Linked DNA regions of Arabidopsis thaliana. The protein of the gene in region 2 interacts with the protein of the main gene of each other region in a pairwise test. Each region holds a gene or a part of one and is shown on either strand. Other genes may lie near its edges.

Region 1 (5,290 bases), on a different chromosome or scaffold from region 2:
TACATTGGACTCGTAAATTATTATAGCTTTGGGAGAAAAGAATAATGACGACAATGAGTGATAGTACAGTTTAATCATTAATAGAGAAATAAAATTAGATACATCAAACTTTGGAGATTTTTAATCAAAGACTATTTTGGGTTTCATTTTCTTGTAGTTAGGGGTGATTGTTGTCTTGTTGAGAATGCTAAAAAGTATTAGTCACTAAATGTTTATAACTCACTAAAATGACATTATACGAAATAGCAGTAACGGAGTTTTAATTATGAAACTGAGTTTTAACACCCAAACTTGGTAGAAACTCAAAACATGCACATATTTATTACTTTAAAAGTTTCATAATAATGAGCTAAATTTATCAAAGATTCACAAATCTCGTAATCGGATGAATATCAATAAAAATTAGTTGATGGTGGTGGTCCATATAGACCAAAATTCGTTGTTGAGTAGATCATTACAACTTTAGTTATCATGTCATTGAAACAATGATGAGCCATGTGAGCCATATATATGATATGAACATATATAGAGAGCGACCTATAGGTTTTGTTTAGGCCTTTATAAATAATGCATTGGAGTTTCTCAACACAGTTAAAGATCCTTTTGAGTTGTCATAATGTCCCACCACTCTTTTAACACCAGCTTCTTTTTCCCTTCAAATCCAACAATATTAGTGATCATCTTTTTTCTAGGCATAATGCATAATTTTGAAATGTAAATCTCACTTGAAGTCAGAATTGTTGGTGCATATTTAGACGGGTCTCTATTTATTCAAATCAATGATCTTTACAAATATCTTAACATAACATTTTCATCATTCATAAAAAGATAAAAGGGAAGAAAAAGGTTGCAAGCAAAAAGAAAATAGAAAAAAAATCAATGTACCAATAATGAGATCATAAAGTTATTATCTGTACCTAAGATTACATAGAGAGAAACTATGATCTGTTTCTTAGATCACTACATGACTTTATAATTATTATTATGTTTATTCGTTTTTTAGAAAATTGAAAGAACAAACATTCGTCATTACATTTCAAAGAATGTGGACATTCTCCAAGTGACCCATTAATTCAACTTATAATATTGAAACTATTTGGATCAACCTATAACTTAAGAACTATGTAGACAAGTGACATCGATTATCTGTGTAAATAAATTGATCTGTTTTATAATTTGTTAGATTGAACCATTTGTTCTATGTGTAAATTATCATAAATTAGCTACAAACGGAGTCAACCACAAAACGCAGATCCAAAACGCAAATGCAAAAAGGCAGAGTCTTTAATGACACCCATGAGAGAATACATCAAAACCATGAGAGGTTCATCAATGGCCAAAACCAAAAACCTTCAGCATCAAAACATAAAAGATAGTTGAATAGCCTACATACATAAACTGATTAAAAGCATAAACTACTTAGTTACTTCCTGCGGAAGAGGCGTTGCATTGAGGAGTGTCGATCATCATGGCATTGTTTTCAAACAGAGGAGAACAAGGCCAGGTACGTCGAAAGTAAGGCACCACTTTGTTGAAATCCCAAACGAGTGTCGATTTTCGTCCTTGGTACTGAACTACTTCGACCCTTTTAGTCTCTGTGTGATAGATGAAGATTTGTGTATCACATCTGATGTACACCAAGTCCGACTTCTGATTGAAGAGCGCAAGCAGCTGCGTTTCTTTAGTCCAAGTGCTGAATCTTGTAGCTACCGCTTGGTTCATTTTCCACATCGCCTTGAAATTCACCTTAAACAGCAGGTTCCATTCAAGCACATTGCCTACCTTTTCAAGCTTCCATACCTCCATTACCGACTTATTGCTCCATCCGTATTGTAAAGACCCATCATCGGTTTCTCCCAGAACCTGTTCATCATAGTCATATGTTTTCGGAAGCTTTATCACATCAATCCGTTTCTCCTCACTGTTTGAGTCATATATGGCAATTTTACCTCCTCTAGCATGCCAATAAACAACGCCTTTAATCACTCTCCCTGGAGTCCACGGGCTGAGAGATAGAGGCTCGAGACAAATAAGCTCTGAGTAGCTCCACGTAGAAGTTTTTGAGGAAAAAGTCTCTACCTTCACCTTTGTACTGTTAACAGGAAAGGCTACACACTCTGCCCGGACCACCTTGTAGCTAAACCCTTGATCAGGACTATCCTCAGAAATCAAAGACATACAAAGTTCTTCGAAATGAACTCTGGGACGTGGAAGTTGCTGCTGCTTCTGTGTACTCGGATCCCACAAGTAGTAAGCTTTTGGATGGCGGCCGCAGAGTAGAAGACCATCTGCAGAGTCGATGTAGTATCCAAGCTTTTTCAGAATACCAGAGGATTCAATTTCATCACCAATACTGCTGGTTGAGAGCAAAGGAAGAGATGGCTCAGCGCGAGGGCGACGAGTTCCATCTATGCGTCTTCCAAGGTACATTGAGCTGCAGACGAAGAAGCCAATGAGTTCAAAATTAGGTTTCCACTTGGCTAAGTAAGTGTGACGGAAGCAAGGGCTGGCTATAATCTCAAGCCATCTCTTGGACACCAAAATCAGCTTGTATATCGTTTCTGGTGGAAGCAGGATAAGAATCTCACACATAGTATCATTACTGTTAAGAACCTCATGAGTACTCAGAGCAGAAGTCATCCCCAAATTGGTTTTTAACCTGGCAGAACAAGACATTGCAGACACTGTTTCTTTGTTCATCAGTAATAGAAATCCAACACAATCAAAACAACCACACAGAATCAAAAGACCCACAAGCTACAAAGAAACACAAATCAATTTCAAGTATCTAGTGGATTGAGAAAACTCAATAACCTAAAATCTCCAAAGAGAATCTACCAAAACGCATGCAAAATCACAAAAGATGTTATTTTGGTTACACCCATGAGGAACAAGAACAAAAGTCGGAGAATTTCGCAGAAATTTTTCTGAAACCCTAAGCTTCAAAGTTACGATTTTTAAGAACAGGAAACGATTACAGAGCGAGACTCATCACTAAGGTAGAAAAAAAGACTTAGCATTACGTCAAGAAATTGGAAGATACAAGAGCTAAAAGAGGAGAGAGAAGAACCTTGGTGACGACGAACGCTGAACGCAGAGAAGGGATGCAAACGTTTCTTCACAAGACTAAAGTTATACAATGCTACAATATAAAGGGACAAGTACTTTCTCCTAACCGGATCTCGTTGCGATTGAACCGGGTTCAGTTCAGTTTAAATTTGGTTCGGATTGATGGAAATCCAGAATTCTGATTGGATGAATTGCTTTAATTTGATTTACATTATTTTTATGTTTGGTACGATTTCGTTAGGGTTTAGGTCAATTTGTTACTACAATAAATGTGAACCGGTTATGCTATTTGCTTTTTAACCTTTTTTTTTCTGACATCCCCTCTCTGGTTTCATCTGACGACGGACAAGATTTAAGGGATAATCGAACGGTCAAAATTATAAACTACGGGACAGATTTCGTTTTTTTTTTTTTTTGACAAGCGACGAAGATTTTTCTTTCTTTCAAATTGTGTTTTTCTCTATATTCGATTCGAGATTAAATTCTGAAATATTGTTCTTTTTTTTTTTTTCTCTTTTGTGGCATGAACATAATTGTTTTCTTTTGTTCTAGGAATGTCATTTGTCACTTTTGTTAATGCAATTGAGAAATTTGAGGTTGCAGTTAGGTATGCATTTAAAATAAGATTGTCTAGTAGAAATTGGACTTACGATTTATATGATCTTCATAAGTAAAAAAGGATGCTAACATATTTTAAAAAATCTGTTGTTCAAAAAAAAAAAAAACATATCTTAAAAAATCAATAAAATCTAAGGATGTAAGATATTATTACAAATAGTAGAGATTTATAACTTAACAAAAAATCGAGGAGGGACTAAAAAATAACGCTCGTAATTAAGCCCTAGTACACTTGATCTGTGAAAGAATCTGATTGTTCAAGAACTTAGACATGAATCTATAAGCCTTTTGAGTCAAGTGCACTCCGTCCCAACTTATGAACTTGTGTGGATTCTGACACACCGGAACTCCCACTGCTCCGTATGGCCTCTTTCCGTCGTAGTTGTAAGCTCCACCGGTCCCGCAACACGATTTCAAAGCTACACTCTTGTCGAATCTTTCACTTCGTAGAACGTATTGAAACGCATTGTAGTAATCTCCGTATACTATAGCCACGTCTGGAAACTCTTTTCTCAAAGAAGCTATAGCTTCTTGGAGTTGGTTATTGTGATCCATTGCGAATTCGTTGAGATGCGTCAAGCAACCGTTGTCGTCGTAATCTTTTGTATCTTTCACGGGAAAAGACGTCAAGTAAATCGGAAAACATCCCACTGGAAAGTTTCCCGGGACGACCACGTTAACCGCACCAGCACGGATCACCTCTCTAGCTGCGGCTGTGATGGCTCCAACCACGTGAGGGATGTAGCTTCTGATTTCTTCCATTGGTTTGCCTTGGAAGAAACCGTAGTTGTAGTCGTTGCCTCCTATCTCACCGACCATGAAAAGAGAGTGCTTCAAGCAATCCGAAGAAGAGCCGTGACACGTGGAACGTAGATGACCCTTGAACCAAGCAAGCTGCATGGAGAGAGGAGTGTTTGTTGCCGGAACGTGGAGATTTCTCTCGGAGAAGAAAGAGCTGTTGAGTGCTGTGCTTCCGGAAACTCCGAAGTTAACAAAGACGTTGTGTTCCCGTTGAGGTAAGGGTTTAGGAGTGGGAGATGAAGCCTGCGTGCCAAGTAATCGATCATTAGCAGTCCGTTAGATAGACGACCGGTGGCTTGGTGAAAGTATGTTTGACCGTATGGATAATTAGCGGCGTGAGAAGATCTGGCTCCAACAGGGCCGTTGCGGATTAAGTTTCCAGTGTCGGAGATGGAGTCACCGAATTGGTAGATAGAGTTGATAGGACATTGATCCGATGAATGAACAAGGGACACGAAGAGTATAAACACAAGAAGCGATAATGCTTTGGTCGTAGACATTGTTAGAGAAGTTTGAGAGATTTGTTTGTTGGTTTTAGACAAAGAGAAGGATGAGAGAATTTGTTGCCTATGTGTGTGTATATATAGAGTTTCATAATCTAGCTCCTAGTTAGTCTGTGATTTAGATAGATATATTCAATAATAATTATTGATAGTGATAAATTCAAGAAAAATATTTGATAGAACGAGATCTGAGAAAATATGTCAGAATTTTTATTTTATTTTATATTATTAAAAAACATTATTATTTAATATTTAATCAACTAGAATCAGGCAAAACGAGGCAACGTATCGAAAATTCC
Region 2 (3,820 bases):
AAGTAATTGTATATGTTTCCATGTGCCCGTGAAACCACAAAGATAATTATCATGTGCTTGGATTTTTTTGCCGCATCATGTGTGAGTTAAAGCTGGAAAAACTTCTAAATAAGGTAACATTTTGTAACAAAAAGTAGTCTATTTTTGATTATTAAAATCTATATAAATTGTTAACCATAGATTGGAGAATCTTCTAATTAATATATATATATTAATATTTACGTAACAAGAGTGGTAATTTGTTTTGGAAGGTCTTGTTCCACCATGAACAACTTTGATATAGACATTGATATGATGATTCAATATTAGAATTATTGACAATAATGAACACTAATTATTATTAAAATTATTAAACTTGGAAGCAAAGTAAAGGGGTTGGCTCAACTTCCAAGCAACTCGAGAGAGAAAGAGATGAAATGCATGCGTCATGCAATTTTTATCAATTTGGAATTATAAACACGTCGCCTAACAAACATAATTAAGCCCTAACCATCTCACCTATTTTTTTCTTTCTTAAATCAAATTGTTTGAAAACCATGAAATATATTGATGTATCTTATTATCTTATACTGATTCACTAAATTTTAACATATGTTTTTAGAAGGAAAAAAGATATATTGTATTTTAGATAGTATTTTAGATCTGTTCCTTCTACGATTGTATATTTCTCTCTCATATAGAACTTTAGAGCATATGTGGATTTGGTGTCGAATGTTCTTTGGTCGATATCTCGGAACATGAAAAGGATTAGACTAAAATGTGATTGCTTGAATTAGCTTTTAGCCTTTGACAATTGACACTCACGGGATGTTTAGTATATTATGGGCTTTAAAGGGCCCGTAATAATTTATATATTCTTGCTAAATCGACCCATTGTGAAGCCTCTCTTAAAACTAATTTATAAATGTAGATAATGAAAATTATAGTTCAATGCATGCATACATAGCCACATATCCCATATGGATTATTATTATTTTATTTTATTTTAATTTTGGGTGCAAATCCCATATGTATTAATTTACATTAAATGTAATTAAATGCTTTCATACTTTTCACAAATAACTTTCTATGATAGAAAAATACCATTACATTATTTAGAAAATATGAAATGATTTAATTTATTACATTTAATGTAAAATAATACATATGCGATATGTGTAGGTATGCATTGAATTATCATTTCATTATGAATTTTCACTACGTGGCTAAAAGAAATCGTAAATGTTTAATTTTTTAACAGAGAGAAGCCCTAGGGCACATGTATTTTGATAAATTTCCAGTGCCCAAGTCTTCATCAAACGGTGGCGATGTACGCTATATTTTATACTGTTCCGCTGGCGAAAGAATTCAGAATCGCCAGAGGCTTTTTGGTTGGAAAGAATTAATTAACATTGGCATATATAAGTAAATATTGTTAAACATTATAACATGATGAAATACAAAAGGAAACCACAAACCATGAATTCAAAGAAACGAATGCAATCAACAAAGATTAAAGAACATCGAGATCAACACTTAGAAAACGGAACTTTATGGTTTTACTTTAGATCCTCAAAAGCCCAAGCGTTTTCCTTACGAATCGCGTCTTCTTCTTCAGGTGTGTAATCATTCTCAATGTTAAAGAGTTCTCGAACTTCCTCTGGCGACATATCTTTCATGTGATCTGCAACGGTCTGGCAAGTGAGACCAAGAAGATCTTGGACGTTGAGATAATTAACAGCGAGAATGAGTTTCATGACTGTTTCCATATCAAATTCTTTCATGAACTCTGCGTCCCAAGTCCTGAGCTCGTTCTTGGCTTCCTCGTTTACATTTTCGCTTGTTGCTTCAGTAGAATCATCACTATCATCAACATCATCAAGTACGTGTTTCTTGCAATACTCGATAACCAAAGCGAGGATATTTCCGGTGACGTTTTCAAGCGGGATTGCTTTATCGGCGCAGTCGTCATCGATCATGTGTGCTATGACCTTCAATTTACGAGCCACCGCTTCCTCAACCTCGAACGATTCATCATCCGAGCTAGTCAACACAATCTTGTTCGAAGACATTGTTTGTTTTGTTGTTTTGTTGATTTTTGAGAGATTTTATGGAAGAAATGAAATGAGAGAAATTGTTGAATAAAATTGATGAAGCTATGAAATAATGTCTCTCTTTTTATAATGAGTTGAGAGTGGGTCAAATCTTTAATTTAGGAAATATAGTAAGGAAAAATAAATATAACAAAATCCTACTATATAATTAATTGTTAGGCTCTTATATTTTCTTTTAATATTTGACCCATACATATACTACACACATGCTAATAAAATTATATTGATTAGATTTTATATAAGTTATACTAATATTGTAATTTAATATTTTAAAAATATTAACCATTATAGATAGGATTTCACCTAAAAGCAAAATTTAATTTTTGGTATCTCTTATCAACTCAATGTAAATATTAAATATAGTATAATATAGTGAGATTTTTTTATTTATAAGTTTTAGAAATAATTAATTTGATGACATGTACTTTGTTCTAAGATACTTACTTTTTCAACATTTAGCATTTTAGCAACAATTTTTTTTTTGTCAATAACTTTATTAGATTAATTTAAACAATCTAATTCTGAGGAATATTGTTTATATAAGTAATTAAATGTGGTTTAGATGTTTTGACTTTTTTATTATGGCAGTTATGTAGTGGCAGACTCATAACTTAATTTTACCGGGGTACTCCAAAACAGAAACGAGTTACCAGGAGCACTATGATGTCCAGGGCCGGCCCTGAGCTAAAGCTGGTGAAGCATGGGCTTTAGGCGCCAAACGGTATTAATGATTTAGAGGGCATCAATTTCCAAAAAGTTTTTCTGGCACAGTGGTTATGTTGCCTTTCAATTAGACGAGTTCGATATAGTCTACAGTTTTTGTGTATTTTTTTTTCTATTACTTGTTAATGGGCTAATTTTTTTTTTTGCTTTAGGCATCAAAGACAAGAACAAGTTCTCTAGAACTAAGCCATACGCTCCTTCTCTACGGAAATTAATTCATGAAACCAAAAGCTTGAAGAAATTCAGCATTATGAGCCCGTCTTTACGGAACGATGATTACCGAAGTTTTCTCAATCCTTTAAATCCATTTCCTCTGAATTCTGAGCTCATGTATATGACATTACACAACATCTGCGATTGGTGGTTTTTCTAGGATTATAAAGCAATCTTTAGTAATTCTTAAGGTGAGCAACTCTTTAGGCTCGACAAGCTCTTGATCAATTTGCAAACCTTTCAAAGTTTGAAGAATAACGGCATTTTGACTGCATCTCCAAGGAGAAGTAGTTACCGAATCTTCGACAATCTCTCTTATCCGGCAGCTTCTTCCGTGGAACGTTTTCTTAAAAGCTTGTATGCGTTGTTCGCTCGAGCCATCTATAACCACATGGTGGTCGAGGAATTTGTGAAGTCTGTCTTTATGGGCGAACCCAATTTTTGCTTCAACAGATTTTTTAATCTTTGCAAACTCTTTAAAGATGAGCATCTTTTTGAAAAACTCATGGAGCCATTATCTCTCCTCCTTTTGTGTTTTTTTCAGTTTCTATTTGTATGAACATCCCTCTTTTAGGTTTTAAGTAAATTAAAGTTGTTTGACAAAACAAAAAAGAAAGCCCATACGCTCCTATCTCTCTGCCTCTCTCTCTTTTTCTCTCGCTTTATGATGTTTTCTACGTAATAAGTGTTGATATGGGCCTTGGGACGCTTCATATGAGATTGGATAAGTTTTCAACAAAATTTACGACCAAAAAGATTGCATGGCAAAATTCAACTGAATAGTATTAATT

Evidence for each region. Proteins that work in one complex are often made in the same cells at the same time.
Region 1: the proteins of SK16 (region 2) and AT5G03970 interact in a two-hybrid assay, tested with the Arabidopsis thaliana proteins (2 studies listed by BioGRID).

What each region holds. Positions count from the first base shown.
Region 1 is NC_003076.8:1,070,302-1,075,591, forward strand, and holds AT5G03970 (F-box associated ubiquitination effector family protein), read right to left. Parts: upstream 3,189-5,290; 5' UTR 3,071-3,188; intron 2,685-3,070; 5' UTR 2,677-2,684; coding exon 1,420-2,676; 3' UTR 1,205-1,419; downstream 1-1,204. Other genes in the region: AT5G03980 (SGNH hydrolase-type esterase superfamily protein), read right to left, coding at 3,904-4,731, 4,845-4,988.
Region 2 is NC_003071.7:962,463-966,282, reverse strand, and holds SK16 (SKP1-like 16), read right to left. Parts: upstream 2,070-3,820; 5' UTR 2,052-2,069; coding exon 1,539-2,051; 3' UTR 1,382-1,538; downstream 1-1,381. Other genes in the region: AT2G03180 (uncharacterized protein), read right to left, coding at 3,157-3,519. UniProt on the Arabidopsis thaliana protein: Involved in ubiquitination and subsequent proteasomal degradation of target proteins. Together with CUL1, RBX1 and a F-box protein, it forms a SCF E3 ubiquitin ligase complex. The functional specificity of this complex depends on the type of F-box protein.